4 linked regions of the Saccharomyces cerevisiae S288C genome follow. The protein of the gene in region 4 interacts with the protein of the main gene of each other region in a biochemical or structural test. Each region holds a gene or a part of one and is shown on either strand. Other genes may lie near its edges. The genes, in order: ACK1, LDB19, ART5 and RSP5.

What was found.
Region 1: of the proteins of RSP5 (region 4) and ACK1, one has a biochemical effect on the other in vitro, tested with the Saccharomyces cerevisiae proteins (3 studies listed by BioGRID, with this or other methods).
Region 2: the proteins of RSP5 (region 4) and LDB19 form a complex in vitro, tested with the Saccharomyces cerevisiae proteins (4 studies listed by BioGRID, with this or other methods).
Region 3: the proteins of RSP5 (region 4) and ART5 form a complex in vitro, tested with the Saccharomyces cerevisiae proteins (4 studies listed by BioGRID, with this or other methods).

What each region holds. Positions count from the first base shown.
Region 1 is NC_001136.10:93,958-102,271, forward strand, and holds ACK1 (Ack1p), read right to left. Parts: upstream 3,997-8,314; coding exon 2,125-3,996; downstream 1-2,124. Other genes in the region: YDL204W-A (uncharacterized protein), read left to right, coding at 176-328; RTN2 (Rtn2p), read left to right, coding at 648-1,829; mitochondrial 54S ribosomal protein uL10m MRPL11, read left to right, coding at 4,518-5,267; TRM8 (tRNA (guanine46-N7)-methyltransferase), read left to right, coding at 5,604-6,464; MGT1 (methylated-DNA--protein-cysteine methyltransferase), read right to left, coding at 6,544-7,110; YDL199C (uncharacterized protein), read right to left, coding at 7,333-8,314.
Region 2 is NC_001147.6:915,890-924,415, forward strand, and holds LDB19 (Ldb19p), read right to left. Parts: upstream 5,174-8,526; coding exon 2,717-5,173; downstream 1-2,716. Other genes in the region: dolichyl-phosphate-mannose-protein mannosyltransferase PMT3, read left to right, coding at 141-2,402; PRO2 (glutamate-5-semialdehyde dehydrogenase), read right to left, coding at 5,646-7,016; FRT1 (Frt1p), read right to left, coding at 7,343-8,526. UniProt on the Saccharomyces cerevisiae protein: May be involved in protein-linked oligosaccharide phosphorylation since the deletion reduces the negative charge of the cell surface.
Region 3 is NC_001139.9:622,561-630,479, forward strand, and holds ART5 (Art5p), read right to left. Parts: upstream 4,525-7,919; coding exon 2,764-4,524; downstream 1-2,763. Other genes in the region: YGR067C (uncharacterized protein), read right to left, coding at 1-2,226; Rho family guanine nucleotide exchange factor ROM1, read left to right, coding at 5,246-7,919. UniProt on the Saccharomyces cerevisiae protein: May regulate endocytosis by recruiting RSP5 ubiquitin ligase activity to specific plasma membrane proteins in response to extracellular stimuli.
Region 4 is NC_001137.3:406,676-415,168, reverse strand, and holds RSP5 (NEDD4 family E3 ubiquitin-protein ligase), read right to left. Parts: upstream 4,981-8,493; coding exon 2,551-4,980; downstream 1-2,550. Other genes in the region: small subunit rRNA maturation protein LCP5, read right to left, coding at 1-688; rRNA-processing protein NSA2, read left to right, coding at 990-1,775; DSE1 (Dse1p), read left to right, coding at 6,106-7,827. UniProt on the Saccharomyces cerevisiae protein: E3 ubiquitin-protein ligase which accepts ubiquitin from an E2 ubiquitin-conjugating enzyme in the form of a thioester and then directly transfers the ubiquitin to targeted substrates.

The sequences.
Region 1 (8,314 bases), on a different chromosome or scaffold from region 4:
ATAAAGCGTTCCTTTACTTTTTCATTTTCTTTCTTTTTTTATGTTTGATTTTTTTACTTTTTCACTTTAAAAAATTGCTGAAATTTTCGTAGCCAAAAAAAAGACCTTCATTGCTTACTCATCGGTTTCTTATTGGTCAGACGCTCCCCAGGGTCAATTGACAAGGAGAGAAGGAATGTTATATGGGAATTGCTGCGTAAAGATGGTCAAAAATCCTGGACTGCCGTACGAACGACAATGTAAGGATGACTGCATTAGCCAGAAAGACATCTTTACCCCCGGTGCTGCCAGGGAGCAAAATAATTACGAAAAGTGGACGCAAAGTTAACTTAAACTACAAGGGTAGCAGCAGAATGTGTCGGTGGTACCGGTGTGATAATGCCCCATTTGAGATGCTTGTAATTGTGGCCTAGCAATAAGAACGCAAGGCGTTTTTGTTGAAAGGAGAACAAGGTTAGACGGTGACGTTTAGGCGCATAGGCAATCTCCCCTTATTGTTCACCCTTATTTCCACCCTCAAACGATAAAGCTTGCTACTTTGATGAAAAAAATATATAAAAGGGATTGAAAAGCAGATCAATTATGTAGCAATAGTAGTAATAACTTGTTCAATTGCTTGTCTCAACTTGCCACAAACTATCATCAACATGAATAGGAATACGACTACCAATAAGAACGCGAATTTGAATAACAGTAGAAATGCTAACGCTCCCGGTGAAGCAGGTCATCAGAACAAGACGGGATTGATATACTGGACTAACCCTAGCAAGTCGGGTGCGAGCTTTGCTGCGACTCTGGTGAGTTTGCTGATCCTCAGAAATGTCAATGTTATTTCTGTTTTACTTAAGATCGGATACATGGTGTTGTTCACGAGTTTTGCGGTGGAGCTTTCTACAAAGGTGCTATTTGATAAAGGAGTAGTGTCTAGGTTTGGCATGCAAGAGTCTCCGGACCTTGTTGGCGTCTTAAAGCCTCATATCGACCGCGAATTGGATCGTCTGCCTGCGTTAGAGGACAGAATCAGAAAGTTAGTGTTTGCACACAGAACAAGAAACAATTTTACCATTGGTGTTTCCCTCTATTTCTTGCACGGCCTATTTGCTATATTCTCTATGAACACTGTTTTGATAATGACCACCATCTTTTTGTACACTGTGCCTTTAATCTACGATAGAAAGCAGGCTAGAATTGACCGTGCTATCGACAGGATGAAGGATCTAGTTATTCATAGGTTTCACAAAAATTACAACAAGGTGGTTGAAAAGACTGAACCATACATTGACAAGATTATCCCACCCCAAACCGATGAAGGCAGCTACTCAACCTCTATCAGTAACGAAAACAAATCTTCTACTTCTCAACGTAACAAGAGCGGCCTTTCCTCTTCTGAGTTTGACAACATGAACGACACGTCAGCCTCCAAAAGTGGCAAAGACAGCTATTCTACCTCTCAATATAACCGAGCCGAATATCCAGTTTCTCAGAATGAGAATATTGGCACCTTAAAATCTGGGAAGCAGGAAATACCAACAGAGAAGGATTTCAACAACAGGCATGAAAACTTCAGTAAACCAGATGTCAAGACATATGATCCAAGAACAGTTGATATTGAAGAAGAATTAGCAGCTCATCAGCGTGAACTGGAGCAAAACCTAAAAGATGGTGATTACAATCTGGTAGGAAGCAAGGAAATCCCAGATCCAATCACCGTTCCAGCTCCAACTAGACACACCACTAAACCCGCCGAAAGCCAATCGATTCCCATCAAGAATAATGAAACCTTACACAAAACCACGCACGGCCTAAAGCAAAAATTGCAACACGCATAATCTAGTTTTTTTTTTTTTCTCTCTTCTTTCTAGCTAGTAGTTCATTTCCTTTTCTTTTTTTCAAAGAGGTCATATTTATCACCAACTATATATTTTTTTGAAGAAAAGATATCATTACAACGATAAGTAGTTACAATATTTTTTTTATTTAGTTTAAAATAATGAGTAAATGACGTCGCATTTCTTCGCTTTTGTTATTTTTATTCTCCTCTCATTTTTGAGGAGAATGTTACAATATTTTACTAATGTCCTGAATAATATTTGATTTATGGCATAATAAAGAAATGCGAATTCGTTAATTTGTCAAACTTCGAAGAGCATCAACTGCCTTCCTGAATCCCATTCTTGCAGCCCTCTGATAATATTGTTTGGCCAGATCCAAATCAACTTCACAACCGACACCTTTTTCGTAATAAAATCCTAAGGCAAATTCAGTGCGGGCTAATTTACCGTCTGAACACTTGCTGCTCTTCAAGGCCCAGTTGAATGCCTCTTTATTGTTTGGTTTCAAAATATTTGGTGCTCCCGTTAAGTACCATCCACTTAAGGATAACATTGCCATCGGATTCCCCTTCGGCTGAGCAGCAGCAGCTTTGGAATACCAATATATGGATTTTTTGGCCACCACTGGCAACCCTAGGTCTCCAAACTCATAACAATTTCCTAATTTCCATTGCGCTAAAGGGTACTCAAAATCTTTGGCACATTGTTGGTAGTATTTTATTGCCAGTTGAGAGTCTTTTCGTATGCCGTTCGCAAATAATAGGTTCTGGATTTCTGGCGGCAAAACACTGAATTCATATATTTTACCTAACTCATATAATGTTTGTGGAGAGTCACCCTTTTGGGCAGCTTTATCAAACCATTTAATAGCTAGCAATACATCAGTCTTTTGCATGTTCAGACCGTATAAATGGCTCATCCCTAATTTATACATACACGCAGAATTTGAACAAACTTCTGCGCCATGCTGGTAGTATTGGAAGGCCTTTTTTATGCATTGTTCTTTGGTTGGTGATGGATCCAAAGAAGAGGTGCCCCTTTGGTATTCAAAGCATACACCTGCACGGTAGCATGCATCTGAATTGTTCAATTTCGCAGCTTTACAATAATATTCCAGCGCCTTTTCATCATTTTTAATAACGATGTTTTTGTTCTTTATAGGTAAATAGGGTTGGTGTGAATACAGCGTCCCCATTAAATACATGGCAGGTGGCCATTTTAAAGTTATCAATTTTGTGAGCACCTTGAATGAATGTTCCAAAATGACTTTCTGGTTTTTGAGCATTTCCTCAGGCTTTAAGCTTCTTTTGAGCTTCTCCGCGTTTATGTTATATTGCGATATGAAATCCTCATTAAAGGCATATGTAAGTAATGTTTCACACCATTGCATTTGTATCTCGGGGGTGAATTTTGAAGAGTCAGTAATTGTCTTCTTGTACACTTGATAGAAAGCCAATGCCTCTGGTGAATAGGAAGACAGTTTGTCCTCACCACCTGAGGACCCATTATCGTCTGTCTTCGCGCTCCCAGTGGGTGGTTGGTTGATTTTTTGTGGTGGAACAGGATTATTATTCAAAGGTCGTATTGGAGCTTTTTCCTCGGTTCTGTAAACTTTTTCCTGCAGTATCCTAGATTCAGATTCCTCATAGGGTGGTGGCGCTGAGTTGTCCCTTACAGACTCTGATATTCGATTTCCACTGCTTATTGATGCATCTTGTACAGCTGGTGAACCCAAACTCTCTTTTGTAGAACTAAAATTGAAAGGAAGTTCATACCTACTACCAGTACTGTTGGTGCCATTATTGGCATATCCTATTTCACCTGTTGGCTTGGAATTAAAAATGTCCATGCCGTTATTACTATTTATGGTTACTGGAGTGCCTAATTGACCACCATCAGCATTCCCGTCTGTGAAATTCAGCGCACTCAAAGGCAGCGATAATGATGAGGAAGATGAAGGGGATGTAAAAGGAATAGCTGGTGTGAGTTCAACGATAGAGTCATCCACTGGATAGGGTGCAGGCACTATATTTTGAGCTGGCAAACCATGCCTATCCGAATTGGCATTTCCCAATTTATGCGAGGACTCCCGCGCCCTTGCTGGTGGAAACATGTTAATGTGTTTGTCATAGAGGTTAGGTTGCGGTTGGCCCTGATTAACCATTGCCTACTGTATTAAAACAAAGTATTAAAACGTGGTGGTACACTCTGTACAAAAGAATAGAAGGAAATGAAAAGAAAACGGAGTTAAAATCTACTTCATAAAAAGAGACGCTTCCAAATCCAGTCTCTACCACGTTCTTGTATATAATTTGAGCAACTCAAATTAAATTACCGGGATATCTGCTTATTCTACAAGCCATAGCATCCAGTGCTAAGGTTCATCTCAAGCCATCTTCAATACACTTGATAATTAGTCGTCAATTTTAAAATTAGGTTTCGTTCTTGAAGGCACTTAACCTAAGCTTTTTACTATATGACCTATTAAACAAGTCTTTTTCATAGTGTAACCTAACGTTTATACACTAATAACCCTAGGGCTTAGTAGAGATTCATACAGAAAAAAACGTAGAGTTATAGCAGTAAACTGAGAAAAGAAAGAAGGTTAGTACAATTGAAGAGTAAGGAAAACAAAAGCTTTAGACCTTATTGGAAGTGCTTGGGCGCGGAGTGTGATTATAAATAATGTTGCAGCTAAGGTTTATGCCTGGATGGGTCCCCAGAAATGGTTTTTTTGGTTTGAAGGAGACAATTGGTACAGTACATAAGAGATTTTATGCTCTGGCTTCTGAACAACCCTCAAGAAAGACAGTAAAGCCGCTGGACTCGAGGAAGACGTTTCTCATCGATACATACAAGCATTTAATGGAGAACAGTTCTATGATTTTTTTTGTCCATTACAATAATCTTTCCAAAACAGAAGATCACCATTTCAGATTCAAGATTAAACAGACAGGAGGGAAACTCACAAAAGTAAGAAACAACCTGTTCGAAGTCTACTTGAGAAATTCGCATCTGCCCGACCCATGTGGATTCGTGAAGCGTAAAGAGCAAAACTGGAAACATCCACTCTTGCCACTACTGAAGGGTCCTACGGCCACAATTACATACGAAGACACCAACCCTCAACAAGTAGCCAAGCTATTGAAGGTTCTGCAGTCAGCACAAGACAAGCTGATGGTGATTGGTGCAAAAGTAGAAAACGAAGTTTTGAATGTGGAAAAAATAAACACTTTTAAGACTCTCCCCACAAAGCCGGAAATGCAGTCGCAGTTAGTCAGCGTTTTGCAAATGCTAAGTGGGTTGGGTTTGGTTCGTACGTTGGAAAACAGTTCAAATGCATTGTATTTAACACTAAAATCTCACAATGACAACCAAAAACCTAAAGAGGATGTGGAGTCAACTACAGATGCAGAATCGAAGGGATCAAAGTAAAAAGAAAATGCCCGTAATTCGACAAGTTTTATAAAGGTTTTACTATTCAATCATGTACATACATCATCAAAAAATAAAAAGACAATGAAGCAATAACGGTAAATATACTTTAGTCTATGTATTGACGTCAAAATTACCTTTCTTTTACCTTTCTTACCTTTTTACATATCTCAGCGACCGTTGAAAAAAAAAAAAAATGAAAAATTTTGGTGATGACTTCAGCAAAAAATTTCAGGATATTTCTGACATTTCACTTTATTAAAGCGCCACAAAAGCTGGATTAGTATAGATTCAGCAGTTCCCATAGGATAAAATTTTCAAGCGTTTATTGTTAAGATGAAAGCCAAGCCACTAAGCCAAGATCCAGGCTCCAAGCGTTACGCATACCGTATAAATAAGGAAGAAAATCGTAAGGAGTTGAAGCATGTAAAGATCAATGAAAGTTCTTTGGTGCAAGAAGGCCAAAAGATCGACTTGCCAAAGAAGAGATATTATCGTCAAAGGGCGCATTCCAACCCATTTTCAGATCACCAGTTAGAGTACCCAGTATCTCCCCAGGATATGGATTGGTCCAAATTGTACCCTTACTACAAAAACGCGGAAAATGGACAAATGACAAAGAAGGTGACGATTGCTGATATTGGCTGTGGATTCGGTGGGTTGATGATAGATTTATCACCAGCCTTCCCTGAAGATCTTATCTTAGGGATGGAAATTCGTGTGCAGGTTACAAATTACGTGGAGGATAGAATTATTGCCTTAAGGAACAATACAGCTTCAAAACATGGATTTCAAAACATTAATGTCTTGAGAGGTAACGCTATGAAATTCTTGCCCAACTTTTTTGAAAAGGGCCAGCTTTCTAAAATGTTTTTTTGTTTCCCCGATCCTCATTTCAAACAAAGAAAGCATAAGGCAAGAATTATCACTAACACCTTGCTGAGTGAGTACGCATATGTTTTGAAAGAGGGCGGTGTCGTGTACACAATTACAGACGTCAAAGACCTGCATGAGTGGATGGTAAAACATTTAGAAGAGCATCCTTTATTTGAACGGTTGAGCAAAGAATGGGAAGAAAACGATGAATGTGTGAAAATAATGAGAAATGCCACAGAAGAAGGTAAAAAAGTGGAAAGAAAGAAGGGTGACAAGTTCGTCGCTTGTTTCACAAGATTACCAACGCCAGCCATATTGTAACATAGATGTATAACTAGAACAATTTACCACATATACATAACTATTTCTTATGTTTATTTTCCTAAAATCCTTTATCCAACTACAATCTACTAAGGCTTAAGCTATTTTCCTTTTCATTATTTAATAACTGTTCTTTCAGTTTACAGCTCCATTTATATCCGGTTAATTTTCTATTGCTACCAACGATTCTATGGCAAGGTACTAACAATGCCAGGTTATTTGAGCCGCAAGCTCTTCCGACAGATCTTGCGGCAGTTGGCTTCCCTATTCTCTTTGCAATATCACCATATGTTACGACGTGGCCGTGTTCCACGTTTAAAAGCTCATTCCAAACTTTACGTTGAAAATCTGTTCCAAACAGGAACTCAAAGGGAATAGCGCCCGATGGTAATGGCATTTTGTTTTCTAAACATATTGTATAATTTTCGATTGATTTCTTATATGTTTCTGCCTCTTTTAGTTCCTGTAAATCGTACATTGTATCCTGTTTCTCATGTTTCTTCAAGAAGCCTTCCACCTTTCCCAATAAAAAAAGCTTATCATTACCTAACGAGGCAAAAACAAGGTTTTGAGTCTTTTCCCTAAACACCAAAAATGCACCAGTCACTTCAGTTTCAATGAATGTATAGTAAAGCAGTTCCTTCATCGTTGGTCCATTTAGATCAAAAATGCGACCGTTTTCAATTTTTTTTTTGTGCATATGCTATATCATTACTTGATTAATCTTCCTTGTTTCCACCGCATTTTAAATGCCCTGCCAGGCCAATAGCGCCGTGCCTTTTTTCTAATGACTATAATAAGAATATGTATGTAGGATAAAACTAAACATTTATACTTAGGATGAAGCAAATATTTTTATGAGGCCATACTAGGCAACTGCCATGTCTCCAGGCGAATTCTGGCCTCCACCTGAACTGGGTTTATTCGCAGCAATGTTGTCGCTGATATTTGGATCGGTTCTGTTATGAAAACTGAAAAATTCTCCAGTCCTTGATGGTCCTGAATCAGATGTAATGAAATAAACATTTTGTGCAGAACCGTGTGTCTGGTTCGATAAGTTTCCGTTTTTGGGTAGAATCTGCTCATTTTGAATAGATGAATAGGCTTGATTATTTTGTTTGATACTACTTCCTAGAGTGTTTATCTGATACGCGGAAAAAGATGGTGAGGAGGAGAATTCAGAACCGGTATCGTCAAAAACATCATCATGGTTACCGCTACCGTTTCCGGTAGAATCATCATCAGAATCTAACCTTTCGTCACGGGTTTCTATAGGAAAAATCTTCAGCACAAATATAATGGAAATAAAGGAAGATAAAGATGGAATAAGATAAAACTTCCAAGACAGACGGTCAATAAGTATAGGGGTTATTAAGCTGACGAACCACTTAAAAATCCAATAAAAGTTTGAGACTAGTAGTATCACTGGGGCCTGTGACAAGTGAGGTAGAAGCTCAATGGTCATAACCCATCCTATAGAATCCCAACTGATGAAGTGCGTAAAAAGAAAAACAGCAAATAGTATTGATATATACCTCGTTGTGCTCTTGGGAAACCAGTCTGTAAAAGATATGGTAAATAGCAATGCACACATCACAATCGAACCTAAGAGTACATTCGTTTTCTCTTTACGTTTCCGTAACACCAAGGGAACATATGCTAATATTACGATGCTGTAAATTAAAGCATTAAGCCCCGTTAAATAGATAGATTTTCTTTCTCCTCTCCCCATTTGTTGTAATATTAACGGTGAGTAATACAAGAAAGCATCCACTCCATTTGTTCGTGTGAGAAGTTGGAAACCTATCAACAATTTTATTATTGAAGAAAAATCCTTTAAGATATACGCA
Region 2 (8,526 bases), on a different chromosome or scaffold from region 4:
AGGAAAGGCAAATATAATAGGCCACCTGGCCGGTGTACAATAGAAAATCTCTAAAGAAGGGCATTCCAACTCTTCCTTTCGACATAAGAGTAAAACAAATATTTGTGTGCTCCAAATACCGGCAAATAAAATAACAGACAATGCCGTACAGAGTGGCGACGGGCTACAGTGAAAAAAGTACTGACGATGATTTGATATGGAGAACGCCAATAGTAAAAGAGGAACTCGAGGATGCTGACAACTTTTTAAAGGATGATGCCGAGTTGTATGATAAAGTCAAGAACGAGAGTGCAGTATCACACCTGGATACCATAGTTATGCCGATCATTTTCACGGTACTGGGCATGTTCACTAGAATGTACAAGATTGGTCGTAATAATCATGTGGTCTGGGATGAAGCTCATTTTGGTAAGTTCGGCTCTTACTATCTGAGACACGAATTTTACCATGATGTTCATCCACCTTTAGGTAAAATGCTTGTTGGACTGTCTGGTTATTTGGCTGGCTACAATGGTTCTTGGGACTTCCCATCTGGTGAGGTTTATCCCGACTATATCGATTATGTGAAAATGAGGTTATTTCAAGCAATGTTTTCATCATTGTGTGTGCCACTAGCCTATTTCACAGGAAGGGCTATCGGATTTTCTAGGCTGAGTGTTTGGCTATTTACCATTCTAGTAATTTTTGAGAATTCGTATGCAACATTAGGCAAGTTCATTCTCCTTGATTCAATGCTACTTTTCTTTACCGTCTCTTCTTACTTTTGCCTTGCCAAGTTCCATACTATGAGAAAGTCTCCCTTTTCGGCTAGGTGGTGGCTATGGTTGTGCCTCACTGGGTTGAATTTGGGTTGCGCTATATCTGTGAAAATGGTAGGTCTTTTCATCATCAGTGTAGTAGGAATTTACACCATCAGTGAACTATGGAATCTCCTAAGTGATAGATCGGTGTCTTGGAAGGTTTATGTCAACCATTGGCTAGCAAGAATATTCGGGCTTATCATCATTCCTGTTTGCGTTTTTTTGTTATGCTTCAAAATCCATTTTGATCTGCTGTCCAACTCAGGGCCCGGCGACTCTACCATGCCATCATTATTTCAAGCCAGTCTGAACGGTACAAAAGTTGGTAAGGGACCACGTGATGTTGCTTTGGGTTCTTCTATTATTTCCATCAAAAATCAAGCGTTGGGAGGCGCTTTATTACATTCTCATGTCCAACCATTCCCAGAAGGTTCTGAGCAACAGCAAGTAACTGTCTATGGTTACAGTGATGCTAACAATGAATGGTTTTTTCAAAGAATCAGAGGAGTAGAGCCTTGGACTGATGCTGAGAACAAGACAATTGAGTTTGTAAAGGGTGGCGAAATGTATAGATTAATGCATCGCCTAACAGGCAAGAATCTACACACCCATGAAGTCCCAGCGCCTATATCGAAAAGTGAATATGAAGTTTCTGCTTACGGAGATGTAGACTTAGGTGACTACAAAGATAACTGGATTATAGAAATCGTGGAACAAGTAGGGGAAGAAGATCCAACACTACTACACCCGCTATCCACATCTTTCCGTATTAAAAATTCTATACTGGGTTGCTATTTAGCTCAGTCAGGTAAACATTTACCAGAATGGGGTTTCAGGCAAGGTGAAGTTGTCTGTTTAAAACACGCCTCCAAAAGGGATAAGAGAACCTGGTGGAATATCGAAACACATGAAAATGAAAGATTGCCACAGGGAGAAGATTTCGTATATCCGAAGACTTCATTCTTCAGGAATTTCATGCAGTTAAATTCAGCAATGATGGCAACCAATAATGCTTTGGTACCAAACCCTGAAAAGTTTGATGGTATAGCTTCATCTGCCTGGCAATGGCCAACCTTGAACGTCGGGGTAAGATTATGCGAATGGAGTGAAAAATCTATAAAGTACTTCTTATTAGGATCTCCTGCGTCCGTCTGGCCCTCAAGCATCGCAGTTTGCGCACTGATAATACACGTTATATTCTTAACTCTGAAATGGCAGAGACAATGTGTTATCCTATCCGATCCAGTCGAACGTGACGTGTTCGTTATGGCAGCCTTTTATCCATTGCTTGCTTGGCTTTTACATTATATGCCATTCGTAGTGATGTCAAGAGTTGTATACGCTCACCACTATCTGCCCACCCTTTATTTTGCCTTAATGATCTTGTCATACTACTTCGATATGATTACCAAACGTTGGGCTACAAGAAACACTGGAAAATTTCTAAGGCTAGGAGCTTATATTGTATACGGATCAATCGTGATCGCTGGATTTTTTTATTTCTCTCCTTTTAGTTTTGGGATGGATGGTCCAGTAGATGATTACGCGTACTTGGCATGGCTACCTACGTGGCAGATTGTTGAAGATATACGTAACACATAGATATATAGAATGATCAAAAACTTTTCTTCACCACACAAAAAATGTTAATTGATGCGCGAAATATCTTTTTCGACTTATGCCTTCTTCTTTATCATAACAAAGCTATGTACCTACGACGAAATGAAGATATTAATCCAGTCCAGCCTTAAGAAAATACGAGAAAAAAAATGCTCAAGTGTTAAACAATGCCTGTATGTAGTTATCTGTGAAATGCATCAAATCATGGTCAGGGTTTGCTTATTGATCAGATTTGTAGTTTTCAGGTATCTAAGATAAAAATATATGGTAAATACCTTTAACGAATATTATAAAATCTACTGGGTTATTCTATTGGAATCTAGAAAATCGGAAAAGTTTTGTATTCTGATATCTCTTGTGCTATGTGGTGTCAACACATGTCCACGAAAAGGTACACTACCCTGGACACTAACAACACTTTCCAGTGGTGGTGACTGTACTGTGGTAAGGGATCTTTGCGAAGAGGAAGCAGGCTGGTAGTGATGTGCGGTTGGTGGTATCGTTAATTTATTTTGTGTGATCGTTACTTCCTGTACGTTAGGACCAGGTTCGAGCCCTTGGCTCTCATAGTTCCCAATATCTTCATCGCTGCCGCCCACAAAATCATCCTCTGATCTAACAGGAGTACTCATTGTTGAATAAAGTTTATTTTTGATTCCATTATTTATAGAGAGCTCGTAACATGGTGGCGAGAGCAACTCGACATCTTGGTAAATGGGAGGAACTTCTTCGTCCCAGGAGATTCCAAGTCCAGATCTTTCAGTGACTGTTAATCTGAATTGCATTCTTAAAACACGTGCTGCACCAGTGGGAACACTCACTATATTAGAGTTACTAGCACCGTTAGATGCCTTCTCCTTATTAGTACTATGGTTGGACTTATTACTATTCACCGGTGTTATATCTTCAGGCCCCATGCGCCGTACTTTCGGTGTATTTCTATTTGCAAAAATTGGAGATAATTCAGCTAAGCGTTGATCAGGATTATGAACATTCATCGTATTGTTATTAGTTTCTTTCTTGTTTTTGGAGTTTGGTTTCCGTATAGGTTGCCCATTGGCATATTGCAATGTTTCTTCTGCAACAACTATTTCCACTGCCAAGATGTGGCTTACATACAAACCTAAATTTGGATCCTGTATATCGCAAGCCACATTGATGCTGGGCTTCTTATTGCCCGTGGAAGGAGTTTGTAGTGTCGATGCATGCATTACCGGATTAGAGACGCCTGAATTAAGTCCCATACAATCTATTTCTGTAACTAGCTCAATCTTTCCATTATTGTCAAAATCGGTTTTCCATCCACTCTTCATTTCTCCCTTAGATATTATCCGAACCTCTTCCGTAAATAAACTACTGTTGTTTTTTAGCTCTTGTTGAAGTTGTTGTTGTCTTGCGCGTTGTTGCTGCATTAGTAACTCCTGACGCAAAGCGTCGTCACTGGGATGGATGAATTCGCTACCGGGTTGGTCTTCCTCATCTTCATTAACAGGATTTTCATCATCAAGTCCAACATTACCAGTTGACGCTGGACCCGAAGAATTAGGTGCTTGTTCACGACCGGGCTCGCCTGGAAGCCTTTGCGACGGCATATTTTCTAAAGAGTTTACTGCAACCCGGATTTGTGGGCCTAGTTCACCATAACGCTTAATATGACTGCGTGGCTTTTTACTTTTTTCTGACTCTTTTATTTTAACCTGCTCTTCTAACTGCCTCAATTCATGCTTGTGCACTGGACAAGCATGTGCTTTAACTCTTGTAGTTTCTTCAATTCTCCAACTCAATTTACGCATTCGCCATCTCCTATCCCCCGAAGAAACACCGTCTAATTTCATCTCCAAAGGAAAAGTAGATTTAGGATATACAACATTAGGAAGAACAGCAGCAGCAGTTAACTCTGTAGGAGGAAATACTCTTAGAGAATTCTTATCAGGCCCGCGCGGTATACTTCGAGTCACGGCGATGGGCATCGCTAGTTGCAACAACCGCTTCTTAGAAGAGCTTCCTTCTTTCCTGGGAGTAGAATGACCGGAAGAAAAGGAATTTCTATGAGGATCTATATACGTCACAACAGCGATAAGTTCGTATTTGACCTGGGTTTCAGCCGTAGCACCTAGCGATGAAGAACATGGGACAGACCCCGGTATAAGATAGGAAAATGGGTAAGAGTGGCTTCCAACAGAAAGATCCTGGGTATTACTCTGAATTTCCCAGCTTTTCATGTTTGTAATCTTTGTTTTACAGTTCATACAGGTTTGCATTGAGGAAATATTAGGCACAAAGGGTTTATGGAAATGGATCTTCTGTACCAAACTTAGTGTTACCGACGTAATGGTGATCTTGGTATAACCAGCCATTATTCTTAAATTAGCAGGCGTGGGAGAATGCGATATGGATGTAGAAGATGTTGAAGGAGAGATATTTGACGTCGACGCTGACAAGCTGGACAATCTAGATGAAAGTGCAGAACCAAATGTACTCTTTCTTTTTAGGCTTTTAGAAGTAGTCGACACATTAGATTCTGTATTCTTTAAAGATTTATCTTCAGCACTACTGTAGGGATCGACAACCGTCACAGTAAAAAGTCCACTTAGCACAGCACCTGAGGATTCCATAGCAGACCCATAAAGAACACATGGCGGTGATTCTACATCAATAGAAAGGGTTAGTGGAAGACTTTGTCCTTTTTTGTTGCTATTACTGTAGCCGTTATGATTGGACTGATGAGTAGATGTAAGACGTGAAAATGCCATGGTAAAACGTATTGTTTAGTGAAATGTATACTAAGTAGGAGTAAAAATCAGCAATTTCTGGTGTTGAAATGTGAACAACAGCGTTCTCCTCCGAAAAAGCAAGCTATAACGTTGCTCAACTTTTGATTCCGAAATCAGAAGCTTAAATAAGGAAAACTGAAAGCTAATTGGATGAAGCACACAAACTTAATCAACCTTATTATTCAAAGTATTCGGAGCCCTAGTAAAAACTGCCTATGATATGTATGAGTCGTGCTTTTCCGTCTGGTTTAATAAGTGTTCGAGTCAGCTCAAATCGCATTTTTGTCTTGAAGCTTCCGCCAAAAGAAAAAAAAAGTCGTTAATAGCGATACAAGTAAGCAATTAACTATCACACCATAGAATGAGTTGACAAGAGTACTTATTTGATGGCTTTACTGAACTATGTATACACGTCCTTCATACATGGAACTTAGCTTTATCCTAAAAATTTTTATAATGTCACAGTCTTTATATCTAAATCCTTGTGAACAAAAGCTTTGTTACCACCAGCACCAAGGTAGTCACTAGCAACCTGGCCGTCACCTCTTATTTGGTATTGATAACTCACCAGACCGTCCAAGCCAACTGGACCACGGGCGTGAATCTTAGAGGTAGAAATACCCACTTCAGCACCAAAACCGTACCTGAAACCATCGGCAAATCTAGTTGATGCATTCCAGTAAACACCAGAGGAGTCGACACCCTTCATAAATTTTTCAGCGTTTGCTTTATTTTCCGTTACAATAGCGTCGGTATGTCTCGAAGAGTGTGTATTTATATGTTGAATGGCCGATTCTGTAGATGTAACAAACTTGGCAGCCAAATCCAAGGATAAAAATTCCTTATCAAAATCTTGCTCCTCATCAGCATCAACGGTTTTGCATTGAATTGCTTCTGTCAATTTCCCTAACTCATTCAGTTTATCAAAATACGCAGTTTTCAAATCTTTTGTAGCGTGGATAGTCACTCCGCCTTCCAAAGTTAAGTTTTCCAGAACTTCCCACCACTTAGAGAATTTTGGGTTAATCAACAACGTTTCCATAGCGTTGCAACCAGCTGGGTAGTTAGTCTTTGCATCCAAACTAATTCTTTTTGCCTTAATCAAATCTGCGTCTTCATCCAAGTAAATTGAGCAGATACCATCCGCATGACCCAACACGGGAATTTTTGTAGTGTCCTTGATTTTTCTGACTAAGGCATTGGAACCACGAGGAACAACTAAGTCGATGTACTCATCTTGATCCAACAAGTCGGAAACATCCTGTCTGGTTTCGATCAATTGCACAGAGCCCACAGGAACACCAGTCTCACTTTGGAATTGTGCAATGGTGTCGTTAACGATCTTTGCCATTTCTCTGAACGTGTTCACAGACTCTTTACCACCCTTCAAAATTGCAGCATTACCAGACTTGATACTCAATGCGGTAATATTGGCAATAACTTCTGGACGGGATTCAAAGATAACTAACAAAACGCCGACTGGAGCGGTTACTTGGTACAACGTCAAGCCATCATCTAATTCCCTGGCCATTTTAACCTTGCCAACAGGGTCTTCTAGTTCGGCTACATCCTTAATACCTTGTAACATAACTTCAAATTTGTCCCCTTTAAATAGGTCGAGACGTTTCAATAAAGAATCCGCTAGGCCAGTCTCTTTGGCAACAGCTAAATCGATTTTATTCGCTTCTTCAATGGCATGCGCATTAGCCTTCAGGGCATCGTGAATTTTGTATAAAATATCTGATCTGCCCTCGTTTGAGATGGTTTTCAAAATATTCCCTGCTTTACGGGCATTTTTGGCTATTTGTTGTGAACTGGACATCTTTATATTGGTTGCCTGTGCTCCTTTTTGTTCTTACTCTTTTTACCAATACGCTTTTACTTTTTCTCTTCTTTTCTTGAAGCTTTTTGAAAAACGTCTGTCGACTTTTTTCATTTTTTGACTCATTGACCCAACGCCACAAATGAACAAAGAAATTTGGCCACTGCATCGCCTTTCCTGCCCCATTGATTCAAATGTCCATGCGCGTTGATTGATGTGTGATATATATATATATATATATGTATATAGATGTATATTATTATGTTCAGAGGTGATTTTATCTTTGTACGCGTACCATTTTTGTAAAGTGACCTTGTTTTGACTTTTTAACGAGTAAAAAAACGAGTTAACAAATTCTTGACGTAAACGATAAAGCCGCCCATCAAAAGAAATGCAATAATGTCAATGATGAAATACCTATACAGGTAGATGGATTTCGTGTTGTTCTTCGATTTATTTAACACGTTTTTCAGCTCTATCAAACTATCCATTTCCCTTAGAGAGGACTTTTGTTTATTTAATCTCTCTTGGCAAACCTCCATTCTCCTTTCCAATCCTTGTAATTGCGCTACACTTTCTTCGACTGATATCTTTAATTCATTAATAAACGCCTTATTGTCATCCTCGTCAAAGTCTGATTTCAACTTGACCAAGAATTGATTAATCACCGTGGTTCGCAAGGTGGTCATTTCGTCTAATAAAAGGGTTAACTCTCCTGATAGAAGATCATACTTTTGGATAGTTTTTTGAACGTTGTTTTCATTCTTGATTATTGTATCGTTTAAATTTCTTCTCATCTCATTCTCGATCTTCACTAGAAGTGTCGAAATATGATTTTGATAATAATTCAATTCATCAATGTTATCATTCAAATTTGAGTTGCTCTTCGAAATAGAGTTTGAGCTAGAATCAGGAGTGGCTGCGGAGCCATTATTATTGTTCACCTTCAGTACACTCTTGAACCTAGTGGAAGAATCCGCTGACTTCTGCCTATTCAGTAAATACTTAAATCCCAAGGTATCGGTGCCAGGTGCAGTGGAAGAGCCTGATGAATTCCTTGGTTTCCTCTGGTTAGTCAAATATCCTAAAGAGGGATATACACCGTTTAAACTTCTTCTATCCACATCTTCTGAATCTGATGAGGTGGATGACGTGGACGAAAAGGCTGATGACGACAAAAATGCTGGTACATTAGAACGGGAATACAGAAATGACGAAGAATCGTTGACAGCAGAACCGTCCAAATCATGATAAAACAAAGATGTGCTGGGGGAGGAGTTTACGGAAATTTGTGATTGAGAATGCATATTCCCTAATTTAATGCCGCCAGCGGTGGATGAGGGCTCAAACACTACCGACTCCCTCAACGTATCAAATGGGTCTGAATTTCCCAAAGAAGGCTGTAAAAATTGGTTAACCAATCGTTTCCTCTCATAATCAAAAGAACCAGCGGATGATCTACGTTGCGAAGAGGAGGAACCCTGTATTTGATTGAAAGCTAGCCCAGTAT
Region 3 (7,919 bases), on a different chromosome or scaffold from region 4:
GGTGTAATTACTCGTTGAGATAGGTTCAATGGCTTTTATATCTAATGGGGGCAGGAGAATCTTATTACAGTTTGAATCTCTCTTTAGGAAATTAGGAGAGAGTGGCAAACATGATGCTACTGAAAACGATTTCATATCAGAAGCACCAGATAAAGAACCTCTTGAAGTCTTGCGAAACGGCTGTTGAAGAGCAAAACAAGACCAATTAGAGATATCAGTCAACAATGCTTTCGTCTGGTCATTCAGGTGAGGGGAGTAGATTAAGTATGGGTAAAGAATATTATCTCTTAATGAAGATACAATAGCATGCAGTAGTATATGGTAAGCAATGAAGGAATCTGACCAAAAATCGAACAAAATGGAGTGTAAGTCTGTCACCAAGTTCTTTTGGTGTGTTATAATGTAGTCATTCACAAACACTTCAACCTTCTCAAATTCCTCTTTCTCTGTTGATGAAAGGTAGCTCTGACGTTGTACATAAATGGTATCGAACCAGAAATATAACATTAGGTGAACATTGGGGTTTACTAGTAATTGAGATACTTGTGATGGTGAAACATCCGAGCTTGCAATTAACTCCGATGAAAACAATTTTAGTTGGAAGCTGACAATGTCGGTAATTAACTGAATATTCCTTGGGTTTAAAGATGCCAGCGTGAAAGACTTCAAATTAAGAAGCATTGATATGATTGATAAGTTCGTGGTGATCAAGGTTTCATCAACAAATGAGGAAGAATGATGAAGTAAGCACGAGGTCGATACCTGTGGAAAGTTATCAATGAACCATATGTTCCTTGTGGTCCCATTTCTCAAAGTCAAGTTGTTGATGAATTCGAACCAAATCGTTTCCCACAATAACCAGTTACTTTTCGATTTGCAGTCCGTAATCCTGGCGTTCATAACGTTCGCAAATAAAGAGGGGTTTGCACTAGTTTCAGGTTTGATCGGCTGCTGCATTACGAAACATTCATTCAAGTAAACCAGCAAATCATGCACTCTAAAATCAGATGGCAGCTCTTGCGGATAAGTCTTCTTTATTATAAAATACACGTACGCGGAATCTGCCAAAATATTGATATGCTTTAAAGTTAAGTCAGTAGTGGACATTGACGGTCCCTTGTATATGAAGTCCTTAAGTGGATTAGACGAAATAAACTCTTGATTGACGAACCAACCAAATATTAGTAAAGAATCGTTGTTGAAGTTGTTTGAATCGCGCAAGATATTGACCCATAGATCGAATATGAACCATGCATTTTCCTTACTATTCAAATAATGGTAACTGGAGGATGCCACGGTGAATGGCTTCAGAATATCTTGAAGCATTGAAAACACATCGAACTTTTTAATGGAATTAGAAACAGGAATGTTATTCTCCAACATTACTAGAAGAGAATAAAATAGAATCAAGGCAAAAACATCATGTTGCTCTGTCTGTGACAAAATGTCCTCAGTGTCAAAGTCATTGTCATGTTTAGATGAGCTAGCATACAAATTCGTACAACAGATAAACCATAGTTTTTGAGAATCTTGATTTAACGAAATGGACATACCCAGACAAGCTATTATGAGACCAAAAGGCTTGTTAATCCAAAAACTTTCCACCAGCTCGTCATTTTGTAGTGATGAGAACAGGTCTGGAAAGAAATTTTGGAAGATCTTATTTTCTACCAAGTGGCTTACACCCATTCTGAAGAAAGTTAGAATATCTCTTGAGCTAATAAAATCTAATGAATATTCTTGCAAAATTTTTACACTGATGGAGGACTCCAACCGGCTTTTAACCTGCTTAAAGCGGCTTTTCCCTTTCTTTAAACTAGAGGACTCCTTCCCAATCACACAACGTTGCTGCTTATCCATTTTTTCAACATTACTACTATGATAGTGAATATTGATAAGGCCGCTGTTGACCTTAATCATCGAATTAACGAGTGTTTCCATTTTGATATCTCTGGGTGAAGTCGAATCAACGTCACCAACGCCAAGTGATACAGGGATATCAGCCTTATCGCCTGTCATTGACGCGTAACTGGATAAGAGGAAGGTTCTGTGGACAGTCCTGATGTGTCGCTGTAAGAGATCGCGTCTAACAAAAGAGTGTTTACAGACTTGGCACTGGAAAGGCTTCACGCCCGCATGAGACCTTTCATGCCTTATCTTGTGCTCGGATCTCGAGAAAGGCTTCAAACAAAAGGAACATATATATTTTTTTTGACCCGCAGCCATAGCAGTGATAATGCAAATACAATTACTGTATATCAACAATTGTCTTCTCCCGAGAGAAGGTTTTAAATAAAAGCGACAAGTAAAGCTCTTAAGCCATGCCAACTGGCATGAAGAAGAACCGAAAAAGAAGAAATAGAAAGCAGAAAAATGTAAAACTAAACTTTATAAGTACTTTGAAGATGCGTTCTATATAAATATGTGGGGTTAAGTGAACATGACTCGAAATCTATAATGCAGCGATTACGATAAGTATCCACATTAAACGTCAATTATTTTGCGTTGTAAGCATATGCGCGGGGGAGGGGGCGCACCCTTGAAGTGCAGTCTGTCTATCATATTACTGAACCATTTCCTTCGCTTGACTTACATCATTGGCAACACATGCCTGGATCGCTTTAGCGGCTACCTTTAGTCCATATTTTCTTCTATTACCAGATCCCATCATCCCCCTTTGTCCGATTGACGACCATTTTGCCGCGGACGATCGGAGGGGATTGCCAACGCGGGGTAGCCGACTCGGGGCGCCGAGAGCGGGGATCAGTCATCGTCGCAGTAAGCGGGTACGGACCCTGTCACGTAAGACGATGCCGATGCCTGCGCCTGCGCCTGCTCGTATGACGGCACTGTCAGTACCACCGAATCGGCGCCGAGCGGCTGTAGCGCCGGCATGAGATGATCGTTGGTGCTCTCGTGATAATTCGGTGGCGGTTGTGGCAGCGCGAGGTGCGCCGTTGTAGTGGAGTTCAGTTCAACGCCTGGAGTCAGACCCTGCGCGGGGTAAGTGGTTAAAAAAAGGGGTACTAATTCGCCAGGGCGGAAGTGGATCTTGCCATCGTGTTTATCAAACAACACTAGACGGCCTTTCATAGGCAGATGCGGCGAAATAAATAATAACATAGGTAATTGCGCCTTGATCTCCAGGTTCTTGTATTCGCCATCCACTTGACGTTGTAAAAGAATACGTACCTGCAATTTGTGCATGACACGGATTAGGTTGTCTTGCAGACAGCAGTCTTGAGTTATTTGTTTGAGGTTATCTGGAATTGTAAAGGGACAATCGACGTCAAGTTTGTCCGTCAGCGGGCCGAAGTCCGCTAGATGAGTAATTTTCATGACGGCTATTTCATCATCATAAATTTGTGCGCTGCTGTCCTTCATTGCGTAATATTGGATTAGCGCCATTTCTATCCTATCCAAACGAATGTTCTTTTCGAAGGGGAAAATCTTAATCTTCACGGGGGTTGTGCTACCAATAGGAACAGCCCTACTCGGGATGGACGTTTCGTATTGCAACTTGTCACGCCAAGTATTACCCACGCTAATTTCTTCTTGCATGGCAAGATTGTCCATCGATAATGTACGAAGGATTCTGAGATACTTGAACTTTTTGATGATAATTTTATTCTTCGTTCTCATACCATTGCCGCTCGTACTTGTGCTACCGATTGGACCGTGAGGAGAAGTATGAACGCTCAGATCAGTATCCCATAACTGACGTCCATCTATAATGGCTTCAAAGGAATACAGTATGCTACCACTTTGTAGTCCCTCGATTGTTTCGCACACTTCTGGGGGGAGCATTGTATTGAAGGGTAGTTCGTAGTTGCCTCTTTTCATTAGGAATAAGTACGAACTTCCAGACCCGTCTCTGTTACTATAACTATGGCTATTGTTATTGAGGGTGTTACTACTACTGCTTCTACTACGGGCGTTTTCTCTTAAACCCTCGAAAGGGGTTCCTGTAACACCATTTTCTGGTAGCTCTAGTATTTTTCTGTGGGAAGAATGGGTCTTTCTTCGAATTATTTTGTTGAAAACAGGGCTCGAAAGTGATCTCTTGCTTAGAAATATTGCGTTGCCGCTGGTGTCCATATCTTGGTTGCTTGTACTGCGACCGCTACTACTGTTATGTTGATTTTCCGCATTTTCCCCACCGACTAAAACATCCCCTTTTGAAGAAACCAATAAGTTGTCCCAATAGCATTCGAAAATCTTACGCTTTTCCTTAACTAGACTTGCCAAACTACTGCTATTCTTCTTATATCGGCCAACTTGCAAAAACTCCAATTTGAATCTTCCTACCAATCTCAGCGAAATTTTCTTCACTACGATCTCATTTTTCACTGAAATCACTAAGTTTCCTGATAAAGGTATAGACGACAGTTCCAACGGTGACCCTTGGATCAAAATTATGTCCTTGTACGGGGAGTTTATTCTAATATCAAAATAACTTATTCTCTCTCTTTCCTTCTGCTCTGAATGCCCACCGCTGCTAGATAGCGAACTAAGTGAAAACATGGTCTTGCTTCACCCTATTCTCGCCGAGAGCTGTACAAGATATTTTTTACTTTTGCCATCTTATACTCATCCTAATCATCTGTTTCATTTTCCTTCTATTTCTTTTTTTTTTTTTTTTTTTTTTTTTTTTTTCAGTTTTCGAAGAAACTGCCTTTTTAGAATTGTAAAAGACGAAGTGAAGTATTCAGGAGTATATTATTACATACATACAAAGCAAGACAAAGAAACATTTTTAGATCTAACATTTTACTTCAATTGTTTTTGTATTCCTTATAATAAGAAAGACCTGCTGTTTAATGTGGGAGTAATCCGTCCCCTACTCGATCTTCAATAAATTGTCATCTTGTATCTAAAGGAGCGCTCCAGTACTCCAATTAAGCACCACCTAGTGCGTCTAGTGTCGATTTTTTTTTCACGCATACGTTTGTATGTTTCTTAAATTTCCCATGATTTTTTGTTGCCAATGTCATATCTACAAACTCTATACGAAAGTAAACGCACTTCATCTTTTTTGCCCTAAAACGGCAATATTTAGACATATCATAAGGGGCCCAAGGGAGAATCGTTAATTTTAAACTTTTCTTTGCTCTTGAATGAAAAAGTAAATAAATAAAACTAAATCAAAAAAAAGAACGCCACGTTTGAATTTTAAAGCAAAAATTTTGTTGATTTAGTAATGATATAAATAAAACCAAGTCGTTGGTAAGAATTTGGTTAGGTTATGAATAGTAATGAACTGGATCTAAGAAATAAATATTTTTATGAGATATTCGGTAAGAAAAGAAAATCAGATACTTCAACCCCTACTCAGTTGTTCTCCGGCTCCAAAGTTCAGACAAACATCAATGAAATTTCTATCACTAACGATGAGGATGAAGATAGTACTGAAGATGAAAATAAGGCTTCATTGAAGGATTATACACTAGGGCACGACACCGGTGCACGGTATAGGATAGCACCGGACTGTTCTTCCCACCAATTAAAGGCATCTCCTGTCCTACATATTTCAACAAACCTTAATTCAAGTCCACAATCCTTCACAGGCGATCAGATTTCACCTACTAATAAAAAAATTTCAATAAATGATTCGACCAGACAAGATAAAGGTAACAGTTGCACTACCACTTCATCACCTTCTCAAAAAAGATCGAATGTTTTGCTTCCTCACGTAAGAAAACATTCATCTCCTTCACTATTATCATTTTCCAAAAACAGTGGCAGTCATATGGGGGATCCAAACCAGCTATCTACGCCTCCAACTCCCAAAAGTGCAGGTCACACGATGGAGTTACACAGTTCATTCAATGGAAAACATAGTTCTTCTAGCACCTCTTCTTTATTTGCATTAGAGTCACTGAAAACCCAAAATAGACGCTCATCAAACTCTTCCAATCATTCTAGTCAATATCGACGCCATACTAATCAACACCAACGTCATCATTCAAGGTCCAAATCAAGTCCTGTCTCTCTGACGGAAATATCCATGATCAAAGGCACGCCTTTGGTTTATCCTGCACTTTTATCACTAATAGCAATTAAATTCAAACAGACCATCAAATTGAGCACGCATAAAAAGATGGGGTTACTTTACAGAGATTCCTTTACAGGAAAACAAGCAATTGATACTTTATGCTTGATCATAGGAAGCTTAGATCGTAATTTGGGCATGTTGATCGGAAAATCGCTGGAAGCTCAAAAATTGTTCCATGACGTACTTTATGACCATGGCGTAAGAGATTCTGTACTGGAGATTTACGAGTTATCTTCAGAATCAATTTTTATGGCACATCAGTCGCAGAGTTCTACTTCAATTGCCAACACATTTTCTTCATCATCTTCTTCAGTTAATTCGCTCCGTACTAAAACTGAAATATATGGTGTTTTTGTCCCATTGACACATTGTTATTCCTCTACATGCTCTCTGGAAAAACTTTGCTACTCTATTTCTTGCCCCAATCGTTTGCAACAACAGGCTAATTTACATTTAAAATTAGGTGGTGGTCTTAAGAGAAATATTTCGTTAGCACTCGATAAGGAGGATGATGAACGAATTTCCTGGACAAATTCTGTACCAAAGAGCGTATGGGAATCATTATCCAAACAACAAATCAAAAGGCAGGAGGCAATATATGAGTTGTTTACTACAGAAAAGAAGTTTGTAAAATCTTTGGAAATCATCCGAGATACTTTCATGAAGAAATTATTAGAAACGAATATTATTCCATCTGATGTAAGGATAAATTTTGTAAAGCACGTTTTCGCACATATCAATGAAATATATTCTGTCAATAGAGAATTTTTGAAGGCTTTAGCACAAAGGCAATCATTAAGCCCAATTTGTCCTGGAATTGCAGATATATTTTTGCAGTATCTTCCTTTCTTTGATCCTTTTCTGTCATACATAGCATCAAGACCATACGCAAAGTATCTAATTGAAACCCAAAGATCAGTTAATCCCAATTTTGCTCGTTTTGACGATGAAGTGTCTAATTCTTCCCTGAGGCATGGGATCGATTCATTCCTATCTCAGGGTGTTTCAAGACCTGGTAGATATTCACTGTTGGTAAGAGAAATAATACACTTCTCGGACCCAGTAACAGACAAAGATGATCTACAAATGCTAATGAAAGTCCAAGATCTTTTAAAGGATCTAATGAAAAGGATTGATAGAGCAAGCGGTGCAGCACAAGATCGTTATGACGTTAAAGTGTTAAAGCAGAAAATTCTATTCAAAAATGAATACGTTAATCTGGGTTTGAATAACGAAAAAAGGAAAATCAAGCATGAAGGTTTACTCTCAAGGAAGGACGTGAACAAAACAGATGCGTCCTTTTCAGGAGACATTCAATTTTACCTACTCGACAATATGCTATTATTCTTGAAATCAAAAGCTGTAAACAAGTGGCACCAACACACTGTATTTCAGAGACCAATTCCACTCCCTTTACTGTTTATTTGTCCGGCTGAGGATATGCCACCCATAAAAAGATATGTGACAGAAAACCCAAATTGCTCAGCGGGTGTGCTCTTACCCCAATATCAAACGAGCAATCCCAAGAATGCTATTGTATTCGCCTATTACGGTACGAAACAACAATATCAAGTTACTTTGTACGCGCCGCAGCCGGCCGGATTACAGACATTAATAGAAAAGGTGAAACAAGAGCAAAAAAGGCTCCTTGATGAAACTAAACATATTACTTTTAAGCAAATGGTAGGTCAATTCTTTCACTCATACATAAATACTAATCGCGTCAACGATGTCCTAATCTGTCATGCTGGTAAAATTTTATTGGTTGCAACAAATATGGGACTCTTTGTTCTTAATTATGCTACATCGATCAATCAAAAACCAGTGCACCTTCTGCACAAAATATCAATTTCACAGATCTCTG
Region 4 (8,493 bases):
CATCGAATCTATCTTCAAAATGCGTTTGTTGCGGTGGTAGAACAGCCGTAATCTTTGGTGGTTTATACACGCCAGTCTCATTGTCATCGTTTTCTTCCCCGTTTTCTTGCTTAGCCGTTTCCTCCACCCTGTATGCTGATGATTTTTTATTTGTGTTGATAATTCCAGAGGTATTTGGCCTGTATGCTATTTCATCCTCACTAGACTCATCATCTTCGCTATCGTCGTTGCCGCTATGATTCACTAAGGTAGATTTTTCCAGTGCACGCTTCTCAGCGTCTTTATATTCCTTTTCCATTTTCACATATGCTCTAGTCAGCTTGTCCAATTGGTAAGCCAACTTTTTTTCTAGTGGTTTAACACCACGCTCTAATACCACACGGTGTTGAATAGAGCGTTCACGTGCATCCATAGCAGAAGGATCTTTGCACTCGTCGTCTAGCCTATTGCCTATAAGCATCAATAGAGAATTTATGTACCCTAGCATGCTCCCATTTTTTAAGGATAGCAGCGATACTTTCTCAGCAGGCTTCTTAGCGTCGTAAAATAGATGCTCATGTAGTTGGTTACTTTCAGGAATCTCATCGGTCGCAGAATTACTATAAATCCCAGACAACCTCTCCAAGGATTCTGATGTCGCAGTGAGCGAGCCGTTGATATCTTTTAATAATGCATTAAGTTCAGACATTCTTGGATTTGTGTGTTAGTTGACAATTTTAATTTCTTCATCTCTTTTGACACTTTAGAATGGTATAGCTCATCGGTTTCTTTTCTTCAACCTTGCAGGAAAGGCGTAAAAAATTTTATGTCGTCGGCAACGGTTCTAGTAACAATCCGATGAAAAATTTTCCGGACAGCGATGAGATGCACTTTTAAGACAATTGAATGGATTAGGTATCAGTTAGAGAAGAACTTGGTTTTCGTATCTGGCGTTTTTATCTTTAGTCAGTAGTCAGTCTCGTATCAATACTGATATATACAACGAAACAATGCCTCAAAACGATTATATCGAGCGTCACATCAAACAGCATGGTAAAAGATTAGATCACGAAGAAAGGAAACGTAAGAGAGAGGCAAGAGAGTCTCATAAGATTTCTGAACGGGCCCAGAAGTTGACTGGTTGGAAGGGTAAGCAATTTGCTAAGAAGAGATATGCTGAAAAGGTATCAATGAGAAAGAAGATTAAGGCACATGAACAATCTAAGGTCAAGGGTTCATCCAAACCATTGGATACCGATGGTGATGCTTTGCCGACATATCTATTGGACAGAGAACAAAATAACACAGCCAAAGCTATTTCTTCATCGATCAAACAAAAGAGGTTGGAAAAAGCTGATAAGTTTTCAGTTCCGTTACCAAAGGTTCGTGGTATAAGTGAAGAAGAAATGTTCAAAGTTATTAAAACAGGTAAATCTAGATCCAAGTCATGGAAGAGAATGATAACGAAACACACTTTTGTGGGTGAAGGTTTCACTAGAAGACCAGTTAAAATGGAAAGAATCATCAGACCAAGTGCGTTGAGACAGAAAAAGGCAAACGTCACTCATCCGGAATTAGGTGTAACTGTCTTCTTGCCAATTTTGGCAGTTAAGAAGAATCCACAATCTCCAATGTACACTCAGTTAGGTGTTTTGACTAAAGGTACCATTATTGAAGTTAACGTTTCGGAATTGGGGATGGTTACTGCTGGTGGTAAAGTTGTCTGGGGTAAGTATGCTCAGGTCACAAACGAACCAGACAGAGACGGCTGTGTCAATGCGGTTTTGCTTGTATGAGCAAAAAAGTGCTCCGTTTTTTTTTTTTTTATCTCGATGGTTCAAATTAGGTTTACTTTTAATTTAATAATACGATATACGTCTACAAGCACAAAAGAACAGGTATATAAAAAATGTACGCTCTGTCCTGTTCGGGTTTCTCTTTTTACTTCTCGTCATTCTCTGTACAATATAACAAATCAAGAATTTATTATCCGGTTCTTTTTTCCTCACGACAAATAACCGATACTCTCCGTGTGTAGGTGACTGGCAAGAGAGGGATTGCCTAGTACGCTCGTTTCAAGTATGTACCTCACGAGAGCAATTTCAACTGTAGTATAATACCCAGGTCACTATTCAGTTTTAAAATGCAAGAAAATTAAAAAACAAAAAACGTATGGTTGTAAAAAGCAGGGCACATTATATGTATATAAATAAAAAAAAAAATTAATAAAATCTAAAAAGAGGATATAAAAAATAAGAGGCGTAAGGCAATATAAATTATTGGTATCATGCTCCTTTTGAAAAGGAAAACCTCCTCTTATGGCGAACTTGAAAAGAACTTTGCGTAATCATCAAAAAAAGCACTTCACGTTTTCCTGCATTTTCTTTGCTGCTTTCCATGTTGCTGTAAAAACAACAATGATTAATCATTTCATGAGCAACTCAGATAAAATTAACAAAAAAGAGTTTTCTCTTTACTATTGTTAGCTGAAATATAAAACAAGATGATTGAGGCAGAAAGAATGTTGGGAAAACGGACACCATAAATAAAAAAAAAATTGGTGCGGAATAATCATTCTTGACCAAACCCTATGGTTTCTTCCACGGCCAATGTTAGCTTCTGTTTCATGCTGTCATAATCAACGTATTGTGGCAAATCAACTCTGTTAAAACATGTGTGAGATTTTGGCAATTGTTGTACTTCACCAGCTTTTTCAATAGTGAATCTTCTTGGACCATCAGAGCCTTGCAAATCTTTAAACCCGTTGACAGGTATACGAGAAGTACCAGTGGTGAACTGCAATAAACGGGCTCTTTGTTCATTATCCCATTCACTGACACACTTCCAAAACCATTGAATGACCTCGTCTGACTCTTGGTAACCACGATAATCAGTGTGTTTCTTCCAATCTTCAATGTCAATTTCCGCAATACCACCGATCAATAGTTCTAGTTCACGCTCATCAAACACAGTTACTAAGTCTTCGGGGATTAATTCGTTAAAACCATCCATGAATGCCTTAAATTGTTCTTGAACTCTATCAACAATTCTCCATTGGGTATATAATTCGACATATTCTTTCTTATTACCATCAGTAACTTCAATATTTCTCCCATCTGGCTTCAAATCCACTGTTACAACTTCACCGAATCTTTCATCGTCGGCACTGAACGTCAGATCCAAGACACCATCTATACTATTCTCAAGCATCCAGTTTAATGAGTTATACACCTCTGCGTCAACACCTTCCATATCTTGCAATACGACTTTTTTACGTAGCATCATTTTGTAAAGTGCACCTACAAAGAATGCATCCAAAAATCTTCTATGGAAAACACCAAGACCCACAACTCTACCAATGAATTTGAAATAGTTCAAATGTTCGGGGTTGATGCCACTGTTAGGATTTATTTGAATGGTATAGTTGTCATACGCAGAATATTCAAACAAACAATAAAATGGATTAAACATCTCATGTGATAATAAAAAGAAAAATTCTCTGGAAACACCACCGTAATCTAAACCTTCCTCACCATCAAACTTGATCATTAATCTTTTCTTTAAATCTTCTGGGGTTTGTCTCATAATTTCTTGATAAGCATCCTCAAAAATGTTCTTTCTACGTACTTTAATATGACATTGTCCCGGCAATATTCTAAGAGCGGGCTGGGACCTGAAATAAATAACCTTACGTCTGAAGTCACGCTTGTATTGTGGAACATTTTGGTCTAGCGATGATGGAAGTCTTGGGTCATCCCAGGTCGTTGTTTTTGTATTGTGGTCAACGAAATATACACGTGCCGTATTGGTCAATCTCATTTCCCATCCAGAAGGCAAAGGACCTAATTGGGAGACCGGTTGTTGCTGAATGGTGGTATTTGTAGGGCCATAAGTACGTATATACTGTTGTCTCCTTGGATCCACCCAAGTGGTTGTTCTAGTATTATGGTCAACGAAATAAGCTCTTCCTTCTGGAGTAAATCGCTGCTCCCAGCCTGAAGGTAATTCGCCTAAACCAGATGTGGTACCACCTGTAGCTGCAAACGCTGCTGCTGCTGCACCATTAACAGGAGGTATATTGGAACCACCTCCCACTTGAACTGTTACAGAGGAATTATCTGATGATCCACCAGGTAAAGTTCTTCCCCTATGCTGCCTTCTCTCTAACTCAGTATTTGCATTTAATTGGTTGCCACGTTCGGCTTCTGTTTGATCGAGCGTTGGACGTTTCCAAGTGGTAGTCCTTGTGTTATGATCGACGTAATATGTACGACCAAAGTTATCGGTCCTTCTCTCCCAACCAGGGGGTAAACGACCATACTGGTCTTCAAACGAAGAGTATTGTCTGGTAGCACTGGATGTGGAATTGGTGGAACGGTGACTGGTTGTTGCCGTATTAGTAGCAGCTGTTGTACCGCTTTGAAGAGTTGATTCTACTGCTTGCGCGGTGCCTCTGGAAGGATGAGACGTTGAATGATTACGGGTGGAGGAAGTAGAATGACCATTTGTTCGAGTAGTTGAACTTGTATTCGTACTAGAAGATGCAGTATGGCCAGAAGGAGCTTGTGAATGCGGACTTGACGAAGGTAGTTTTGATAAAACAACAATCAACCTACCGCTGACGGCCATTCCGTCATTAGATTTTTTTAAATCACGAGTAATAGTTTCTTCGCGAGGTCTACCACTCGATGTAGCAGTATCTTCATCCAAATGGCCCAAAACATCACCCACGCGGACGTTAACCACGCCAAGAAACCCTTGATCCTTCTTTTTAAATTTCTTTTGATCAAAGACTTGGATGGTTAAAATAGAATTTTCATTGATATCGTCGAATTTGAAAGTCTCATTCCAGTAGGGATTTAACGTTTTCTTCGCTGCGGATGTAGATTTGGTTTGGTAACCATCAATAGTCAGAACAGCAAACGGATCCGGGGAACGGAATACGTCCCTCTTATATAATGACTCTGCAGCCACTAACTTGACGGATATGGATGAAGGCATTTTTTTTCTTTTTTCTTTCCTTTCTGTTACTTTAAATATAATACCCAAGCTAACAAAGAAAAGGGAATAAGAAAAGGGGAAAATAGTTTTTGGTAAATTTATCGAACTAAAAACGCACTAAGAAAAAGCTGTGGCTTATGAAAGTGAAAGTCGAATAACACTATATTCGGTAGTTCCAACTAAAAGGTACTTACACACAAAAACAAGCAATTATTTCCTGCTGTTTTATTTGCTACGCACTCACTCTTCTAAAGAAGGACTGAACTGAAATTTTGACTCACTTGCAAAATGTGCTTCACGAATTATAGTAACAAGTCCAAAACTGTGGAAAAAACTGACAGCGCTTATTATCTTATAATCGTTTTTGTTTAACGAAAAAGTCGACTCTTGTAGCTCTAACGAAGAAAATGGAAAACAGCCTCAAAACACAACAAAGTCCTTTTATCAATTAGCAGATGCGATACTCGAGTACCCTAAAAATGGTTAAGCGTATGTCTTTTAATTGTCGAGATAGAAGCCCCCTCCCCCGCCAGCAAAAAATATTACCTTTCACCATGAAGATCACTGCAATTTGGTCTTTACCAAAAATTTCCACTAAATTTTTGTTTTTTCCCCTTTCTCGTATAATGTCATTATGTACGTAAGATCACATGATCGTATACTGTCACGTGACTGTGCGGCTGGTCTGCGCCAGCAATTTTTTTTTTCTGCTCTCAAATGTAAACAAACCAGCAGTCTGTTTTCTAAACAAATAAACATTAAAAGGTAAACAATACCAAATAATAATAGCAGCGTCAAAGCTACATTCTCAGTTCTCAAAGCTATTGTGTTGATTTCTATGTATGATTCAATGCCGGCATGATGTTAAATTTGCTGGTTTACTGAATAAGGCTTGGTTCATAACCAATTTGTAGTCATGACGACATAGCTGGGTGGGTGCTTACTGGTTTACATAAATAAGTGCGTAAACGTTTTACAATATATAAAAAGGTAGAAATATCTCTCCCAAGCTTTCCTCAAACTATCTTTTGGCTTCTTCTTCTTGCATGACTTCCAAATTTTAATCTGTGTTTGCTAAAAAATTTGATTGTAGGTGTGATAGTGAGAGTGACACGTATTAATATTATGCAAGATACCAAATACTACGAACCAACAAATATTTTTCGTCAGCCTGCTATTAATATAAAGAAGAGATCAGATAAAAAGAGGATTTTACAATCGATGATGACTTTATCCACATACAAAAAAACGTGGCAAAACAATACTTCGAAAATGAATTCACCGATTTTGCGAAAAGCATCAGACAACTTCAATGACTATTATACAACTAAAAAATTAAAATCAGATTATTGGAAACTGTACGGTGTTGATGAAAGTGAGTTATCCATACCTTCAGACATGTCCATTGTGGATAATATACTTCTAGTATCTACAATGAACGAGAAAGACAACTTGAAACTTTTTGAAATTTCCGCTGAGAAAAAGCTGAAGGAACTACAGACGATTACTGTTCCCGGTAAACCCATTACTTGTATCTGCTTATTGCCCATGGTAGATTTTCCGCCACAGATTTTCCCCAGCTCTCAAATAAATCCTAACCACAACCAATTAATATTGACAGGTCATCAAGACGGTATAGTCAATCTGATAGCAACTTCAACATATAAGGGATGTGCTAAAATAATAAAAAGGTTTAACCACAACAAGTTTCTAAAATCTACCGTATCAACGTCGATTCCGATTCTGGAAATAACGCCAAAAACAGCACCTATTTTGAAGGTTTCGCCATGGAACAAGACCGGTTTTGTTTCCCTTCTAAATGACTCCCTCTTTATATATGACTTGAAATCAAATCTTGATTGCATAAAAACACCTATTTTTTTGCAATCATATCCAGGTATAAATTCTTTTGCCGTTAATGAATTCCATGATCCCTTCTTACTGGCCTTAGTTGGCTCAAAATTTGGACCAAATGGCATCTCGCTGCTTGATTTGAGAACAAATCTCTATATTCCAGATATTTTAGATAATAGCATATCTGCAGGATGTGGAAAAGACCATTTGCAAAGAAAGAACACAAGTTTGGATTGCGTATGGATAAGTAATCATCACGTTGCACAGAGCTTGAACGATAAAATTCAAATTTGGGACATTCAATCCTGCGACGGTAAACCAGTTTGTGAATTATATGCTAAGAAAGGATACATTGAAAGTCTAAAATTTAACGAAAACACAGGCGCGTTATATAGCAGTGATGACCAAGGCTTTGTCATTTGTTGGGATTTACAAAACCTACAAAACATGAAATATGGTGAGTTAGTCCATGGATTTAACTCAATTAGCCTAGATAGTGAAAGTGAACTACTATTAACCAAGCAAGTCTTCCAATGTGGAAACATTATTGTGAGTGGTATGAGTGATAAAAATATTTGCTTGAAGAGCAATGACACTAAGGCCAATGGAAAAGGATGTGGATTTTTATTCCTTGATATGGCAAACGATGGAAGTTTAGTAACTCTTGACAATTTTTGTGAACTGGGATTACATCAAATTTGTCAAGTTCAATTCAATGTCGATACCGGTAAAATAATCGATGGTAATGGTACTGGGAAGAGTGGAATATCTGATTCTTCTATGTTATCATTATCCAATGAGAGTGACCATAGTATGACAGAAACATCTGATGATATGTTCTCAAATTCTGGTAATTGGGATTGTTCTTCAGCAAATACTGTTAGCGAAGGTAGATTGAATGATGACCAAGAGGATATCGTCTTCACAAAGAGGATGTATTCTGTAAATGATGTGCATTTAAGTGGATCTACTATTGATACTACTGTTGTCTAGTTTCCTTGAGTGCTTTCAAATAAAAACAAATAACATATCAATGAATCAAAGTAACATTTCTTTGAAGATAATTTCTTTGTCTGTCACTCAGAATGCCCTTTATTACTAACGACCATCCTCCTTGATGAAGGTGAAAATCAATAAAATTCAAATTGTGACCCAAGTCCAGTCAGTGGATCCTTCTGGTAACACAAGTATTCGGTTTTTTTTTTTTCTCCATGATCTGTATGTTTTACTAAGCTTTGAATTTTTCTTACACAATGTATATATATATATATGTGTGTGTATATCAAAACAGCGCGCGTAATTGTATGTAGCATTTAGAATCAAGTTCAATGCCGAAATTTGTTATGGTTGCCTACGTTTTTTTGGCTTCTTAATTTAATATCAAAATCTTCACGATATGCATTCATTCTCAAGTTTGTAATTGTGCATTTTTTTATATATAGTCCCGCTCTCAAGTGAATTAGAAAAGTAAAGTATACACGCAAAACAAGGGCGTAAATAAAAGAAAACGAAAAAGCAACTAAATAAAAGCTTACATCCAAGTATCAAAGAAGTCGCTCACGGTTTCTCCAATTCTTGAACCTTGATTAATCATAAATTACATATTATTTTGGATATTCTTAAAAAAATGCTATAATAGTGCTTGAAGATAGATTTAGC